4 linked regions of the Macaca mulatta genome follow. The main gene of each other region encodes a partner of the protein of the gene in region 3 in a complex. Links are inferred from orthologs where the notes say so. Each region holds a gene or a part of one and is shown on either strand. Other genes may lie near its edges.

Evidence for each region.
Region 1: the proteins of TUBB4B (region 3) and PACRG are in contact, whole or in part, in a cryo-EM structure (PDB 7UNG), measured with the Homo sapiens proteins. The link is inferred for Macaca mulatta from reciprocal best matches to the Homo sapiens genes TUBB4B and PACRG. Residues at the interface, in NP_006079.1 of Homo sapiens: Glu194, Phe260, Pro261, Arg262, Gln291, Phe294, Asp295, Ala296, Arg306, His307, Gly308, Arg309, Tyr310, Val333, Lys336, Asn337, Ser339, Tyr340, Phe341, Gln375, Ser413, Asn414, Asp417, Ser420, Gln423, Gln424, Tyr425, Gln426, Asp427, Glu432; in NP_689623.2 of Homo sapiens: Glu40, Gly41, Phe42, Thr43, Val44, Ala46, Met47, Met48, Val53, Arg54, Gly55, Pro56, Pro57, Ala58, Ala59, Gly60, Ala61, Phe62, Arg65, Lys154, Arg160, Arg162, Arg191, Gln192, Pro195, Asn198, Ile199, Phe200, Asn202, Met203.
Region 2: the proteins of TUBB4B (region 3) and EFHB are in contact, whole or in part, in a cryo-EM structure (PDB 7UNG), measured with the Homo sapiens proteins. The link is inferred for Macaca mulatta from reciprocal best matches to the Homo sapiens genes TUBB4B and EFHB. Residues at the interface, in NP_006079.1 of Homo sapiens: Asp26, Glu27, Asp31, Pro32, Thr33, His37, Gly38, Asp39, Ser40, Leu42, Gln43, Thr55, Gly56, Gly57, Lys58, Ser78, Gly79, Pro80, Phe81, Gln83, Leu215, Lys216, Leu217, Thr219, Thr221, Asp224, His227, Pro243, Gln245, Phe270; in NP_653316.3 of Homo sapiens: Tyr523, Gly524, Val525, Gly526, Leu528, Ile529, His530, Asn531, Arg532, Tyr537, Arg539, Asp542, Arg545, Ala546, Ala549, Ala550, Arg552, His553, Lys556, Tyr608, Asn624, Phe625, Trp628, Asp630, Lys631, Thr686, Leu687, Leu688, Ser691, Asp692.
Region 4: the proteins of TUBB4B (region 3) and CFAP107 are in contact, whole or in part, in a cryo-EM structure (PDB 9CPB), measured with the Bos taurus proteins. The link is inferred for Macaca mulatta from reciprocal best matches to the Homo sapiens genes TUBB4B and CFAP107. Residues at the interface, in NP_001029835.1 of Bos taurus: Lys19, Glu22, Asp26, Tyr36, Asp39, Ser40, Asp41, Leu42, Gln43, Leu44, Glu45, Glu53, Gly56, Gly57, Tyr59, Pro80, Leu215, Leu217, Thr219, Thr221, Tyr222, Gly223, Asp224, His227, Leu228, Ala231, Gly244, Gln245, Phe270, Pro272; in NP_001033296.1 of Bos taurus: Thr74, Val75, Glu76, Gly77, Leu78, Tyr80, Lys81, Leu83, Ile84, Thr85, His86, His87, Gln88, Glu89, Gln92, Arg93, Tyr94, Leu95, Ile96, Ser97, Thr98, Asp101, His102, Pro133, Pro138, Thr139, Asn140, Tyr141, Leu143, Tyr144.

Annotation. Positions count from the first base shown.
Region 1 is NC_133409.1:9,423,156-9,427,246, reverse strand, and holds the start of PACRG (parkin coregulated gene protein), read left to right. Parts: upstream 1-1,242; 5' UTR 1,243-1,421; coding exon 1,422-1,577; intron 1,578-4,091. Other genes in the region: PRKN (E3 ubiquitin-protein ligase parkin), read right to left, coding at 845-851. UniProt on the Homo sapiens protein: Microtubule inner protein (MIP) part of the dynein-decorated doublet microtubules (DMTs) in cilia axoneme, which is required for motile cilia beating. Suppresses cell death induced by accumulation of unfolded Pael receptor (Pael-R, a substrate of Parkin).
Region 2 is NC_133407.1:28,644,562-28,648,123, reverse strand, and holds part of EFHB (EF-hand domain-containing family member B), read right to left. Parts: intron 3,209-3,562; coding exon 3,028-3,208; intron 1-3,027. UniProt on the Homo sapiens protein: Microtubule inner protein (MIP) part of the dynein-decorated doublet microtubules (DMTs) in cilia axoneme, which is required for motile cilia beating.
Region 3 is NC_133420.1:5,222,940-5,227,136, forward strand, and holds the start of TUBB4B (tubulin beta-4B chain), read right to left. Parts: upstream 2,857-4,197; 5' UTR 2,846-2,856; exon of another isoform or gene 2,496-2,845; intron 1,670-2,495; exon of another isoform or gene 1,306-1,669; intron 1,041-1,305; exon of another isoform or gene 306-1,040; intron 132-305; exon of another isoform or gene 129-131; coding exon of another isoform or gene 5-128; intron 1-4. Other genes in the region: SLC34A3 (sodium-dependent phosphate transport protein 2C), read right to left, coding at 5-128; RNF224 (RING finger protein 224), read right to left, coding at 3,052-3,510. UniProt on the Homo sapiens protein: Tubulin is the major constituent of microtubules, a cylinder consisting of laterally associated linear protofilaments composed of alpha- and beta-tubulin heterodimers.
Region 4 is NC_133406.1:227,946,550-227,949,601, forward strand, and holds the end of CFAP107 (cilia- and flagella-associated protein 107), read right to left. Parts: intron 2,393-3,052; coding exon 2,215-2,392; intron 939-2,214; coding exon 757-938; 3' UTR 537-756; downstream 1-536. UniProt on the Homo sapiens protein: Microtubule inner protein (MIP) part of the dynein-decorated doublet microtubules (DMTs) in cilia axoneme, which is required for motile cilia beating.

The sequences.
Region 1 (4,091 bases), on a different chromosome or scaffold from region 3:
CTTCCACAATAATGAAACCCCATATAGCACTGGCTTCTAAACATATGGTGCATTTCCATTCATTTTTAGGGACAGCCCCTAAAGTAGTTTTTGGTTCAACAACCCTGGAAGAGGACCTTTGCACCTTTGCTCATCTTACACATCAAGTGTTCATGAACAACTCTGATGCCACTAAGTTTTGTTCACAAAATTGCACCTCGGTCATTGTGTTTTACCAAAAAAAAACAAAAAAAACAAAGTTATTTTGCAAAAGGCAGTAGATGTAATCTTGGCTATTATTTACTCTCAATTTTTCTTTCACCTCAGCCCTCCAACGAGAAGTTTAAAAGGAAACATCCGAGGGAGCAAGAAGTTTAGATTCATCTGGAGGAGTTTCTGTGGCGCCCAGCCACCCTCACCAGGTGCCTTCCATTAGAGTTTAATGCTTTGCTGGGGTTTCCTGAAAGAGCCCCACAAAGAGTGGGTCTCGATGGGTCCTGAACCGCACGACAACTGGCCAGGGCCTCGAGGGCGAGGGGCGGCGGCGGGGCGAAGGCTTCGGGACCCTACACGGTCCGGGGGACCATGAGCGAGGACCGGGGGTGCGGGGCCGCCTGGCGTCCCCGGTGAGGCGGTCTTCACGGGAACGCTCAGAGCAGGGGCGGGCGGGCGAGGGCTTGGAACGCACACACTGGGGCCCCGGGCCCGCGTCGCTGAGCTGGAGAGCCCGGCGGTGCGGGCCGGGTACGACATGGGCACTTTGGCCCCGTCACTGACAGTTGGCACCTGGGGTCCAGGTCGGCCGAGGCCACACCGGGGCGCAGGGCGGCGCAGATGAGGCTGTACCTGGCAGGTACCCACGTACCTATCATGGTCACTGGGCAGGTGGCGGCTGCGGGCCAGGAAAGGGCCTACGCGCGCACCGGCGCCAGCCAGCGCCTCCCACCAGCGGCTCTCCTGGGTTAAATCTTCCAGGGCTCCCCGCCCCGGCGCCGGGCCCTAGGAATGCGCACGCGCGGAGGGTACGCGGCCCAGGGCCTGCTGGGAGTCGTAGTTTTAATGCGTAGTTTCTCCTCACGCCTCCTGCCCTCCAGCTCACCGCCGCCTCCCTTTCCGGCTTCAGGCCCAGCAATCGTACGTCACCGAGGGGCGGAGCTATGCGCCCGCAGTGTTGACCAGTCGCTTAGCAACCGGGAGGCTTACCTTTGGAAGCTTGTTGCAGCTCTAGCTACGGTCCTGCCCTCTTCCCGCCCCACCCCTCCCCTAAACTCCCTTCACCTAGGAGCTGCCAAACATCTGGATCAACCTGGGCACTACGAGGGGTTGAATTTCTACCATTAACGCGCCTTTTGACATTTTTTTCCCGACCTCCTGCTCACATCCGTAAAACCCACTGATTCTTTTACTACACTTTTTATGAGAACAAGACATTTTCTAGGAAGATGGTGGCAGAAAAAGAGACCCTGAGCTTAAACAAATGCCCAGACAAGATGCCGAAGAGGACCAAGCTGCTGGCACAACAGCCGCTCCCGGTGCACCAGCCTCACTCCCTGGTTTCTGAGGGCTTCACAGTCAAAGCCATGATGAAAAACTCAGTCGTAAGTGATCTTCCTGAATTGAATGCACTCGCTCCGTATCAGGGGACACGAGATTTACAGAGGTTGGCCAGCCCTAGGATGGACTCTGAGCCCATGTCCTGGGTGGTCTTTGCCAAAAATGGCAATTACTTGGCAAGTAGCAGACGGTCCCCCACAGTGTGTGGGGGGCAGGCTAGGTTGTTAGAATCCTGGGCAAATGATATACTCTGCCCATTGATAAGCACCTTCCTGATAACTCATCGTTTCTAAACCGCCCAAAATTACTCTTACGCTATTTACACGAGGTAAAAAGATCCCCTTTAATTACTGATTGCTAACTAACCCCACTCAGCAAAGGGCCTTACAGAAGATGAGCTCTTAGAAATCATAAACTCTTGCAAAATTTAACATGAGCTGATATACAACTGGGAACATAAACTCATTAAATAATCTATAATGAGAAATTTTGGAATATCCTAGCAGTTACTCTAACAACACTTGTCTCTTAGAAAATGATGTCATCTTGTTAGAGTACTGAAAGCCCACTTAATATGAACACTGTTTCCTGACAGGCCTTTTAAGATGATGTGCTTTAAACAATACAAGCTTTAGCTCATGTGTCTCTGCTACTAATACAATTCATATTTCATCTGCATTATTTGTAGTAACAAAAATAAAATATTCTAAGTATCATTAGAGGAAAAAAAGATTAAAAATACATACAAATATTTTAGCTGTCTGCATGATAGTATCTATTTTTTAAACCTTCCTATTTGTTACATAGCTTTACACTTGGTATGCTAAGGCAGATTTTGCTACTGAGTAAGCACCTGTCTGGGAATGAGGCATTAAATAATAAATGCAGCTTTCAAATTCATATAATTTACACCCTGGGAAGATCTGAGTTATTACATGTGGCAATTCATTATGTTAAATGAGTAATGTTGTTTTCCAGTGTCACATTATTTCCTTTGCTTATATGTTGTAAACCTAATAACTTATTCCTAAACGACATACTTAAAATACATGAATGAAACAGATTACCTATAGACCTCTAGGCCAGGTTCCCATGTGGTTATGCAAAATGATATCCTAATTATTGAGAAGTGTGTCAGGTGATTTACAGTAGTTAAAATTCTTGGAAATAGACTAAAATTCTGCTTGTTGTAACTAATTCTTTTTCATGGAATTTCACATAAATTGGTTCTCCTAGGAGTCAAGATGATGCATTTATCAGCAATACCATAACCATTCAAGTTAATAATTTAGTTTTCTTCTACACAATATTTACAATTTTGGTGTTTTTTAATGTTATAATTGAATATCACAATTTTTTTTTTTTTACTGGTCAGGGTTCTTTTCTGTTATTTCCTAAACTTGTGTTCATAATTCTTGTATCATGTTAATTCTTTAATATAATCCTACGCCTAAAGAGATAGTTCTGCAAAATCTAATGTTTCTATATTGCCAGATGTAGTAAATATGCCTACATGACTTTAAAAGAACCACATTGATTATGAAGCAGGCTTCTTTATAAAGAACTTATTTGTGATACATTATCTTATCTTTTTATATTCTAAAGGAAAATCTTGTGCTAGCAATACTTCTCTTGCCATTGGAAATCATAATTCTTAAATGCAAAGATTATTTATCCATTCATCTACTTATTCAGTCAACAACTCTCTCTCTCTCTTTTTTTAATACCCAATACTTGTTAAGCACAGTTCTGGGGATTTGGGATCAGCAAAGCAAAGTCCCTGCCCTTAGTACTCCAAGGTAAACCAAAATAACAACATTCAAATCTTGATAAAAGAAAGCTAGACAATACTGTTTATACAAAATAACTTCAGTGGTACAAGAAATAAAAATTTTCCATTTCATAACCAATATTTACATTTCACCATTTTTATCTTTAGCAGTATAGACTTTTCAGCATTATAAGATCAAAATATCCTCATCTCTTTCTGAAGGTGTATTTCGATTCAGGATATGTATGACAATTTCCAGCTTTTCTTAATTGCGACCTCATGCTCAAAGGCCAATACCCTCCAAACCACTTTTCCAGTTAGATAAGTCACCATTCCAATGCTCTTCCACTTAAAACATGAAGAATTTTATATATCCTAAGGAGTTACACAGAGACTCCTGATATTTCTTTGAGTGCAATAGTGATACAAGTACATAAACTTGATGATAAATATGTTTCATCAAATGGGCTGTGCAAGCAGAAATGCTTATTTAAACAGTCAGTCTGGATATGAGAGCGCAAAATTATTGAAAAATAATGATAAATGTAAATGGCAAAATTTTTAAAATCTCAATGTCAAGTATTGTTCTTCAATAGAAAGTAGACTTTGTTTCCATGAAATTTTTGTTGCATTCTATAAGAAAACAAGCATCACAAAAGCCCTGCCATCAAATAATATTCAAATTCACATTTTTATAGTGCTTGCCTATAAAGAGATGTAAGAGATACACAATTTGAAGATTTCAAAGTTCATTTTCCTTTTAAAGGCTTTATTTGGGTTGCGATAG
Region 2 (3,562 bases), on a different chromosome or scaffold from region 3:
AGCCCCCTTGACCTGGCTCACCCCCTAGAAGTCTGAAGCATGTTAGAACTTTATTATCAGTTGGCTGGGAGCAGTGGCTCACACGTGTAATCCCAGCACTTTGAGAGGCCAAAGAGGGTGGATCACCTGAAGTCAGGAGTTTGAGATCAGCCTGGCCAACATGATGAAACCCCATGCCTACTAAAAAAAAAACACACACACAAAAAAATTCCAGCCTGGCCAACATGGTGAAACCCCATTTCTACGAAAAATACAAAAATTAGCCAGGTGTGGTAGCACTTGCCTGTGGTCCCATCTACTCTACTCGGGAGGTTGAAGCAGGAAAATCACTTGATCCCAGGAGGCAGAGGTTGCAGTGAACCCAGATGGCACCACTGTACTCCAGCCTGGGTGACAGAGCGAGACTTTCATCTCAAAAAAAAAAAAAAAAAAAAAAAAAAAGAACTCTATTATCAGTTAACTGTTTAGTTGTGGTAAGCCATATTCCAAGCACAGTTAAATTCCTGGTCCTGAGAATCTCTGTGCAATTTCTATTTTAGTTTGCTGCAGACTTCTCAAGATGATCTAAACAAATCTGAACCACAAATTAGAACCCCTAACGCCCTATGGGGTAGCCATGGTGTAAATTTTGGCAGTTTTAGATGGAAGCATACACCCTGTGTCTGTTTGGATCTGAATCTGTATTCCCAGGCCAGGCTCAGTGGCTCAGGTCTGTAATCCCAGTACTTTAGGAGGCTGAGGTGGGTGGATCATCTGAGGTCGGGAGTTTGAGACCAGCCTGAGCAACATGGTGAAACCCTGTCTCTACTAAAAACACAAAAATTAGACGGGTGTGGTGGCACATGCCTATAATCCCAGCTACTCGGGGGGCTGAGGCAGGAGAATCACTTGAACCTGGGAGGCAGAGGTTGCAGGGAGCTGAGATCGTAACACTGCACTGCAGCTTGGGCAACAGAGTGAGACTCCGTCTCAAAAAATTAATTAACTAATTAATTAATTTTTAAAAATGAATCTGTATCCTCAGTGTAGCCAGAGGTACCAGGGAAATCACTGGAATCAGGGAGAAATTCTTCTACTGGTCCTAAATCTAGAAGAAATGTTTGTTTAATAGCTGCATTCCCATGACTAGTGGTACCCAGTTTTGTGTACAGTGAATAATTTTGTTTTTACTGCTTTAGATAATAATTTGTAAATGTAACTCCATTTACAATTTCACTCTTCCCTTTTGACCTAACAACATAGATTAAGAAGTTTCCTTTATTTTGGCCTTTCTGCCAAGAATTAAGGTATATAAACTAATAGTTAAGAATATCAGAAGATGATTCCAATCAAAATAATCCTGTAAAGCAGAACTTCTTTTTGATATATGAACATTACACTTAATGATACACATATATACATGTTTTGAAACATTGTTTCTTTGTATATATTTAAATGAGGAACACTTAGAGAATACTTTCCACATTAAATAAACTAATCCTAGGTAGCAGTTATGATATAATGGCTATAATGCCATGTCTAACAGTTCATATACATAGGATTTCTTAAACCTATCGAAAAGAAGAGGTGGGAAATAGTCACTCACATCTGTAATCCCAGCAGTTTGGGAGGCCAAGGTGGGAGAATCACTTGAGTCCAGGAGCTTGAGGCCAGCCTGGAAACATGGTGAGACCCCAGTCTCTATATAAATATAAATATATATAGTTTATAAATATAAGTATATATGTTTCATATGTTTATGAAACATAAAAAGGAGAGGATATTTAATCTACTCTAAAATACATTTTTCATGTGTCAAATTTTAAAAAACTTTAGATCTGAGGTAATAAGGTACAACTCCAGATTTTACATTCCAAAGTATAATCTATCTTCAGAGTAGATGTCACTACCTTAAGGAAAATAATCTAGTGAGCCTTTCGGTGAACAAAGCTAAGGTTCCTGGAAGAGAGCCTCAATGGGTATGGAAAGACAAAGAGAGAATTTCTCCACAAAAATAAAGAAAGATGGAATTTGAGATCTCCTATGGTAAGACTCCTAGAGGGAGGGGATAACCTCAAAAAGAGTAAAGGAGAGAAATCTGAGAAAGGTGTAAAGAAAGGCACCCAACAACACGGCAGGAACCTGGGTCTTCAGAAGGAAGAATGGCCTATGACCAGTTCCAATGAGTTATTTGTTGAAAGATGGTACTCTACTCCCCCTCAGAATCAGAGTGGAAGTCACTCTGCCCTGTGATTGGTTAATATGCACGTAGACCTCATGGATCTGCATGAATGGAGTGTGGTATACAGCATTTACCAAACTTACCTGTGCCATGAACTCTGTTTCATAAAGAGTTCAGAGTCACGAACACATGTAAAGCACTGATGGAAACAGAACACACGAATGGATGTCCAAGGCAAAGGGATTGCAGTTCTCTAGCTAGTCCCAGAGCCAATTTTTATTGAGTACTTTCCTGTCTTTACACCATACCTACTATGCTCACTATATCTGGACTCCAATACCTGAATTTTTCCTGCTTCTGCATACATACATGTCAAGGATTTTGGTTCTGAGAATAACTTTCTTTTTTTTTTTTTTTTTTTTTTGAGACGGAGTCTCGCTGTGTCGCCCAGGCTGGAGTGCAGTGGCCGGATCTCAGCTCACTGCAAGCTCTGCCTCCCGGGTTTTTACGCCATTCTCCTGCCTCAGCCTCCCGAGTAGCCGGGACTACAGGCGCCCGCCACCTCGCCCGGCTAGTTTTTTGTATTTTTTAGTAGAGACGGGGTTTCACCGTGTTAGCCAGGATGGTCTCGAACTCCTGACCTCGTGATCCGCCCGTCTCGGCCTCCCAAAGTGCTGGGATTACAGGCTTGAGCCACCGCGCCCGGCCCTGAGAATAACTTTCTTGCTACAATCCCATCTTTCCTTCTTGAGTCATTGTTTACACCATCACCAAACATCATACAAATAAGATATGAGATCAAATTTTCCAAAGAAACTTATTTTACCAGCCCCTTCCCACCCCTTTTTTTTTTTTTTTTTTACTACCTCTGATGATTGCTGTCCCAAATGTCGTATTGATTGTGTCCATTCCTTTAGGTAATCCTGGTGCTTGATCATGAGATTTTCCTAATGGTGCTCGTCGATTGCTAAGATATATAGATTCTTTTTTATCTTTAATTTTCTGTTGAAATGTGGTAATAGGCTGTGGGTTTATCAATGTGTTTGCCTAAAAGAAATCATACAATGCACAAATACATCAACAAAAATAGTACAAATCTGAAAATGGAAACCCTAATCAACAGCTAGGGAGAGGAGACTGTACGATTGTGGGAAAACATTTCATTATCATCACTGGCTTTGCTCACCTTCAAATGAACTGTCGGAATTGGCTATAAAGTTTAAACATGCCTAGAAGAACTTTCTAATGAGTTAAAAGGTTTCAGTGATACTAAAAGGTTTACGATGATAGCTTCCAGGTTACTCGACTCAAATATTTAAGACAAGTGATGCCAGGTGCAGTGGCTCACGCCTGTTATCCCAGCACTTTGGGAGGCTGAGGAGGGCGGATCACCTGAGGTCA
Region 3 (4,197 bases):
GTACCTTCATTCCTCAGAGTCCTGTCCACTAGGTCAACCGCGTCCAGAGTGGGGTGGGGGACCTGGCTGCCCGGGAGGGAACTCGGCATGGATTTCGGGCAGGGACAGACCCAGGCCCAGGCCCGGATCTGCTGGGGGAGACGCACGTGTCAGAGACGTTTCCCCGTGCCCCAGCCCTGGCCTCACAGGCTGGATTCACGCCCCAGGTCCCCTGAACTGAGCCCTTGGCCACCCTCTCTCCCTCCCCACTGCAGGCCTCAGTGACCACCTCCCTTCCTCCATCCACGGGGGATGGCTACAATGACCTCAGGCAGTTGTCAGGCGAGCCCAGTCCAGTTTCAGGGGTAGACTCGAGGGGGCCCCGGCTCCCCGGTTCCCTTGCTGGTCCTGACTGTAAGGCCTGGCTAGTGCTGAGGGTGCAGGGTTCCAGGGCTCAGGCTGGAAGTGGCTGTGAGCTGGGGAACCTAAAGACCTCTCCTATCAGGTGTCATCGGGGACACTGGATGGTCCCGACTTAGACTTTGGCATTTGATACTAAACAGTGACGTCTCGGCTTGATAAGGGCCCCACACCCTGGTGATGGGGAGCAGGTGGGGTCCTCACACCGCCTCAAGGCTCCTGGCCCCGAAGCTGCTGCCTCCTCAGCCTCCTGGGCCTGGTCACCCCACCCCTCGGGTCCCCCACCTGGACCCCTCCACCTAGTGCCCTGGGCTCAGGTCCAGGCGTCCTCTGCTTCACCCTCCCTCCTGCTGCCCAAGCCTGGCGTCTCTTGCCGTTGGGTCCTGGAGGCTTAGGATGGGGCCCAAGCCCTGGGCCTGGAGGCCACCCAGCCTCGGCCTCACTGTCCCTGGGCCCCAGCCTGGCCTTAGGAGCTCCTACCTGTGTGGGTGGTGAGGGGCACCTGCAGGGAGCAGTTGCAGGTCAAAGATCCCCTGATCGCGCACATGATCTGCTGGGTACTGAGCCCATTAATGTTTACCCAAGAGCCCAGGTCCCCACGGGGGTTCCCCCCGGCCCCAAGGGCCCTAGGCCTCGTCCCCGTCCTGTCACTCTGTGGCTAAGACCTCCAAACCCCAGCCCAACCCTCCCAGAGTGGGGCTTCTCCCAGGGGTGGGCTCCGAATTAGGCCAAGGGCACTGCAGGGCGGGACACCGGCCCTCGGTACTGGGCATCTGCAGCAGGCATCCGTGTGACCCAAGAGACACACCACACCCAGCCAGGCAGGATGCTAGAGCATGGCTGGGGCTGCCCGGGGGTCGGGAGACGCCAGCCCCCCACTTCCATGCATCTCAGGGCTCCCCAGACCTTTTTTTTTTTTTGAGATTCGCTCTTGTCGCCCAGGCTGGAGTGCAATGGCACGATCTCGGCTCACCACAACCTCTGCTTCCCAGGTTCACGTAATTCTCCTGCCTCAGTCTGCCGAGTAGCTGGAATTACAGGCATGAGCCACCACGCCCGGCTAATTTTGTATTTTCAGTAGAGACGGGGTTTCTCCATGTTGAGGCTGGTCTCGAACTCCTGACCTCAGGTGATCCGCCCGCCTCGGCCTCCCAAAGTGCTGGGATTACAGGCGTGAGCCACTGCGCCCGGCCAGGGCTCCCCAGACCTCCTTAGTGTCATCCCTGCCACCGGCAGAGCAGGGGAAGGAAGCCCTTTGCACCAGGTGGTGGTGGAGGATGGGCTTTTTCATGTAGCCAGGGAGGGCACCCAGCCCGAGGTCAGAGGGTTCAGATCCGGGTTCAGGGTAGGGTTGGGCCCAGCAGGCTGTTAGCGGGCTCGGCCCTGGTGTAGCTGGCAGCCTCCATCTGCAGAGGGAGGAGGACAGAGCCCCCCAGGCCACCTTCCCCACCCACTGCCTGGCCCATCGCACAGCTTTCCCCAGAGAAATCCCAGCTGGCCTGAGCGCCTGTGGGGTGTCCCCTAGGAGGACTGGGCCTCTTCCTGCCCCGGGGTGTGGGGTAGCTCCCCCGGAGGAGGCTCACCCTGCCTAGGGGCTGCTGGTGCCCTGCTCTGCTTGCCGCCCAGCCCCCGCTGTGTGCGTGGGGACTTTGCCCTGGAGAAGGTAGAAACTTCTGGGTGTCCGCTCAGCAAATTCTCTTCAGTCTCCCTCCTGCGCCCTTGCTCTGGGGGTGGGGGCCGCAGTCCTTCCCTGGGGCTCCCGACAAATTCTCTTCCGTCTCCCTCCTGCGCCCTTGCTCTGGGGGTGGGGGCCACAGTCCTTCCCTGGGGCTCCCGAGTGACAGCTCCTTCCAGTGGGTGTGGGGGGTTACAGCACTGACTTGGTGGTCACTGCTGTCCAGTCTCTGGCCCCAGCCCCGGCCCCGGCCCCTCAAAAGGGTCTGTGTGGTGGCTGCCGGGAGCCAGGAAAGGTTTAGCCAAGGATGAGATCAAGTGGGCTGTGACACCTCAAGCAGGCCCCGCTGAGACGTCCTCTTCAATGCCCTCACGGCTTCGTGCCTGTACGAGACCCTCCCGGAGCTGCGCCTGACACACAGTGGGAACTCCATGAGCTTTGTTGAGCGGGTGAATTCACAGGGCTGCCGTGCAGGGCAGGGAGGAAGGAGGTGGTCTCGCCACCCTCCTGGTACACCCTGGGGATGTCTGTGGGAGAGGCGAGACCTGCTCTGGGCAGCTCGCAAGGCGTAGCTGGATCGGCCCTACCCCTCCAGCCTGCAGCCCAGGCCTCCGGCTCTGGCCTTTGCGTCCTCTTGGGAGCCATCCTTTGCGCTGCATCTAGGCCCAAGCCGGGCTTGCCACCCACCCAGTCAGCAGTGTCCTCACCAGGCACACCCGATCGGGCTAGTTTGGGGTCTGGTAATTGTGGCCAGGACAGGTGGGAGGTCACTAGCCTCCTGCGGAACCTCCCAGCCCCCAACCTTAGGCTGCGGTCTGGGATGTTCACAGCTGGGATGACACCACCCTGCTGGGCCCCACGGAGCTGCGTACGGGACGCTACCGCCAGGTTGCTCTGAGTGGGCTGAGCCCATGATGGTGCGTGGTCAGGGGTTCCAAGGCAGGCATTTCCCCTGCAGGGGTGGGAATGGCCAGAGTTCAGACCTCAGGGCTGCCTAGGGGTGGGCAGCAGAGGCTGCCACAGCCCCAGCAGCAGTATCTGGTAGGGGGGAAGTGGGGCTGGGGACCCAGGGCAGGGCACAGCCCAGCTGGCTGCTGAGTGATGCTGCTGCCTTTGAGGGAGGTGAGGGGTAGGGGTTCCAGTCTTGCCGGCTCCCGCTCAGCCTTGACCGCCAGGAAAGCAGCCAGATCCAGGTCCAGCATGGGCACCCCTCCACGAGGCGTGGGCGTGCTCTGGCGGCACTGCGGACAGGGGATCCAGCGCTGCTCGGGTGCTGGGGCGTCCAGTCGCCGCACACACGCCTGGCAGAAGGTGTGTCCGCAGTAGAGGCGGCGGGGCAGGTGCCCGGAGAGGTCATAGGCTGAGCAGCAGATGATGCAGTCTCTCCTGTGGGGGCCCCCCTCCTCCGAGGCCTGGGGGCCCTCTGGCTGCAGCATCCTACCAGAGGGAAGCCAGCAGTGGACATCCCACCTTGGGGACCGTCTGCCTGGATGGGGTGCTGGCCCCAGGAGCCCACCCCAGAGGTCAGGCGCTGGGTCTGTGGGGCTGGTGCATGCAGACCTGGGAGGGAGGGTGGCACCGGGGCACAGGCAGACACCAGGGTCTGCGCACCTCTGGTTCATGTGGGCGCCAGCCGGGCAGGCTCCTGTTCCCGCAGGACCCCCCTGGCCCAGCCCCGGGCCCCCACCCTCCCAGCCAACCTGAGCCCAGGTCTCTTACCTGCATGGGCTCTGCTGGGCGGCTATGCACAGCCACAGGGTGGCCGGAGAAGGGGGTGGGGACCCAGGGCGCCCTGCGGCTTTCTCCTGGGTTGCATTACTGGCCTTGCACGGGAGTCAGGAGAGAGGCAGGTGGCCAGCTGTGGCGGGCGTGGGCTCCCGTTTCAGCCACAAAGCCTTGAAACTAGATCTAACGGCACCGCCCACTTGCAAGAGATAAGGTGCCCCCCGCCCCTGCCCACCCCCTCCTGTCCAGACCCAGCCAGCTTCTGCTAACACCTCATCCAGGCTGGCCTTGCGGTCCATTCCCCCACTCTCAGGCCTTCTCCCCACGCTCACACCCTTCCTCACGCTCAAAACCTCCCTCACCCCTCCTCTCCTCCTCCCCTCCCCCTTCCTTACTCT
Region 4 (3,052 bases), on a different chromosome or scaffold from region 3:
TTAGCCGGGCACAGTAGTGCGCACCTGTAGTCCCAGCTACTCAGGAGGCTGAGGCAGAAGAATCACTTGAACCCGGGAGGTGAAGGTTGCAGTGAGCCGAGATCATGCCACAGCACTCCAGCCTGGGCAACAGAGCAAGACTCCATCTCAAAAAAAAGCAAACAAACAAACAAACAAAAAAAAGATTTGCGAGCTCAGAGACAGAGGAAATGCCATGTGTCTTCCCCTTCCGAGTCCCATGGGGCCAGAGCACGCCTTCCTCTGCCTTGGCAATGACAGACAAGCTGGGGTCCTTCCCCAACGCCAGCTCTGCAGCACTGCCCTCCTGGGAACCACATTCGGTCATTCTGTGGAGTTTTCACGATGGGTTTCATCATCAGATTCGTTTCCTCCATGGGACTAGACTCTTCAGCAAGTCTCATTACCTCTCCGGACCTCAGCTTCCCCTCCTGTGAAACAACAGGGTGGAACTTAAGGGCCCTTCCTGTTTTCTCTGACAGTCTGAATCTGTCTTGTGCACGTACATAGCCCAGCAATAGTGTCAAAGAGCTTTAATTGTGGGATGGAAAGAAAGGAACCTGTGGGATTTGAGGAGGGGACAGGTACCGCCAAATGCAGATGGTTATTCTGAGGGCATCCTTGACAGGCCGGATATTGTACTCTGAGTTTATCTGCAGCCGCTTGTTGTCTGGCAAGTCCAGGGATGCTGTGGGTCTCCAGTTGGTTCTATCTGAGCTGCTACTGGGGTGGCAGCTCTCAGAAGTGTGGGACAGGATGCAGGCGATGGGGAGGGACCGGAATCGCATATTCCCTGCAGGACAGAGCGCACGACGGAGGTCTGGGGTAGGATGAAGTGTACGTGCTCTGCTTCAGGCCAGCCTTGGGTGCGAGCCATCTCTGCTTAAGTTGTTCATAGAGTCCATAGTTTGTAGGGGGAGCTGCAAGAGAAACCAGGGTCCTGTTGAATGGGGCTTAGAGAAGGAGTCTTGCTCTAAATGGCCACGAGACTGGGCAGCAGGGGCGCTGGAGATTTTCCCAGGCTGCTCTGTCAGGCACCAAGGCCAGCAGAGCCCCAGAGGGAAGAAGCCTTGCAGAGAGCATTGGTTCAGTCAGCCCCTGGCGGTCTCAAGGTGCACCTGCATCCCAAGTGCTCAGGGGAGACCAGGCTCTGCCACGGGGGCCTTGGAGAAGTCAGCCCCCATGGTGAGGTTGTGCGTGGCCTCGCTAGTCCTGAGTAATTGTCCCACCCCTTTCGGGAAGGAAGCTGTGTGCATGGAGAGTGATGTTGAGAAGAATCCCATGCAAAAGTAATGCAGAGTGACCAGCAGCTCATCCTCTGACCTATGTCCCTTTGCATCAAAAGGTAGGACCACAAAGAGATGGCACTGCTCTGTGTCCTCATTAGGGTGGACGTGGCTTGAAATGTAAATCAGATCAAGGCACTCTCCTACAAAAATGCATTCCAGGTCTTGGGATTGTGGGTAGGACAAATTTCATTCCCTTCACTGTGCCCTGTGAGCCCCTACATGGCCCTCCTCCATTCCTGCCGTAGACCTTTTTCACTTTCTGTTCCTTCCTCTGGAATGCCCTCCCCATCGATCCCTGTATGGTTCCCTTCTTCCCAACTCAACTATCTCCTCAACAAAGACCATCCCTCACTTTTCCAAGGAGGAACGTGTGAACCAAAGGAGGCTCACAAATTCACCACCTCACTTTCTATCCATTACCTGTTTTCTCTCCATAGCACACATTCCGGTCTAAAATTATCTATGTGATCTTAAGTGTTCTTACTTTTTAGTGGTGTCTTACCTGTTTCCCCACTGGAATGTCAACTCCCCGAGGCCAGAAATTCCTCAGTGTTTGTTACCATTGCAGCAAGGAGCACTACCTGGGAAATATTGTCACTATTCATGTAGTAAATACGACTGGGAGGAAGGATGCGTGGATGCGCTCCCTGCCACCTGTGCTCTAAGCATGCCATCATGGGGCACAGGTGATGGCTTCATTACACAGCCAAGATTATCCCGTATCAAGGGGAGAGCACAGGAGGTAGCCCTGAGGGGACAATAGGACTCAGCCCCGACTGTGTCATCCACTGCTCTCCTGGAGCCAGGGCCACCTGTGTGGCTCCTTCTGCATAAGGCAGGTATAGCTGCATTGGTCTGTGCACCTTTACAGACCAATTCAGAGGAAAACCCTGAATTATAAAAATACCAAGAAGGGGGAAGTCAGACTTCTCTGGCAGCCACAGCAACTTCTGTCCATTCCAGGTGCGGAGCGGAGGCAGCCCCGGGTTGTAACCATGCCGGTTGTAATGGTCGTCATAGGTGCTGATCAGGTAGCGATGTGGGGGTTCCTGGTGGTGGGTGATCAGGTGTTTGTAGGGGAGCCCCTGGAAGGACAGACACAGTGGGCTCATTACTGATAGGAGCAAGGCATCCGCCTGGCCATGGTGGAGACAGGAGCTGCCACATGTAGGGGTCTTTGGCGCTAATGGAGAGAGTGGGCATCCATGGGCTGGCAAAAGGTCTTCAGAAACACACTTGTTTATCCCACTCTGAGGCATCCCACCTTCAAACACATCCCAGCTAGCTGCAGTCAGTTCTCTGTATGGCCGGTCCCATGCCAAGTCAATTCATTCCTAGAATGAGCTACGTTGGCACATTAAAATTAAAGCCAGGACATCCTGCTGAATGGGAAGAGTCAGTACCACCTCACTTGTGATCTGAAATTGCAGCCTATTTGTCTCAAGTCTCATGCATCCAAGCCTGTTCCTAAGGGCAAGGAAAAGATGGTGAAAGCCAGCCTGACGTGTGTGCCTTATATTTCAGTCTGTTACTGTGGGAAGAATCAGACAACACCCTATAAATTATCTTCTCCTGCACACGATTTACTGCTCGCTCAGTTGGAAACTAGGGGAGTGATTTCTTTGGTGAGGAGTAATTTACAGGGAGAAGAAAGCCATGTTCTCCTTTCTCTGGGATGTCTGCCTGATTCAGTGCTTTTCCTAAGAAAATCCTCTTGGGCCCAGAAGGGAATCCTGGGGAACTGC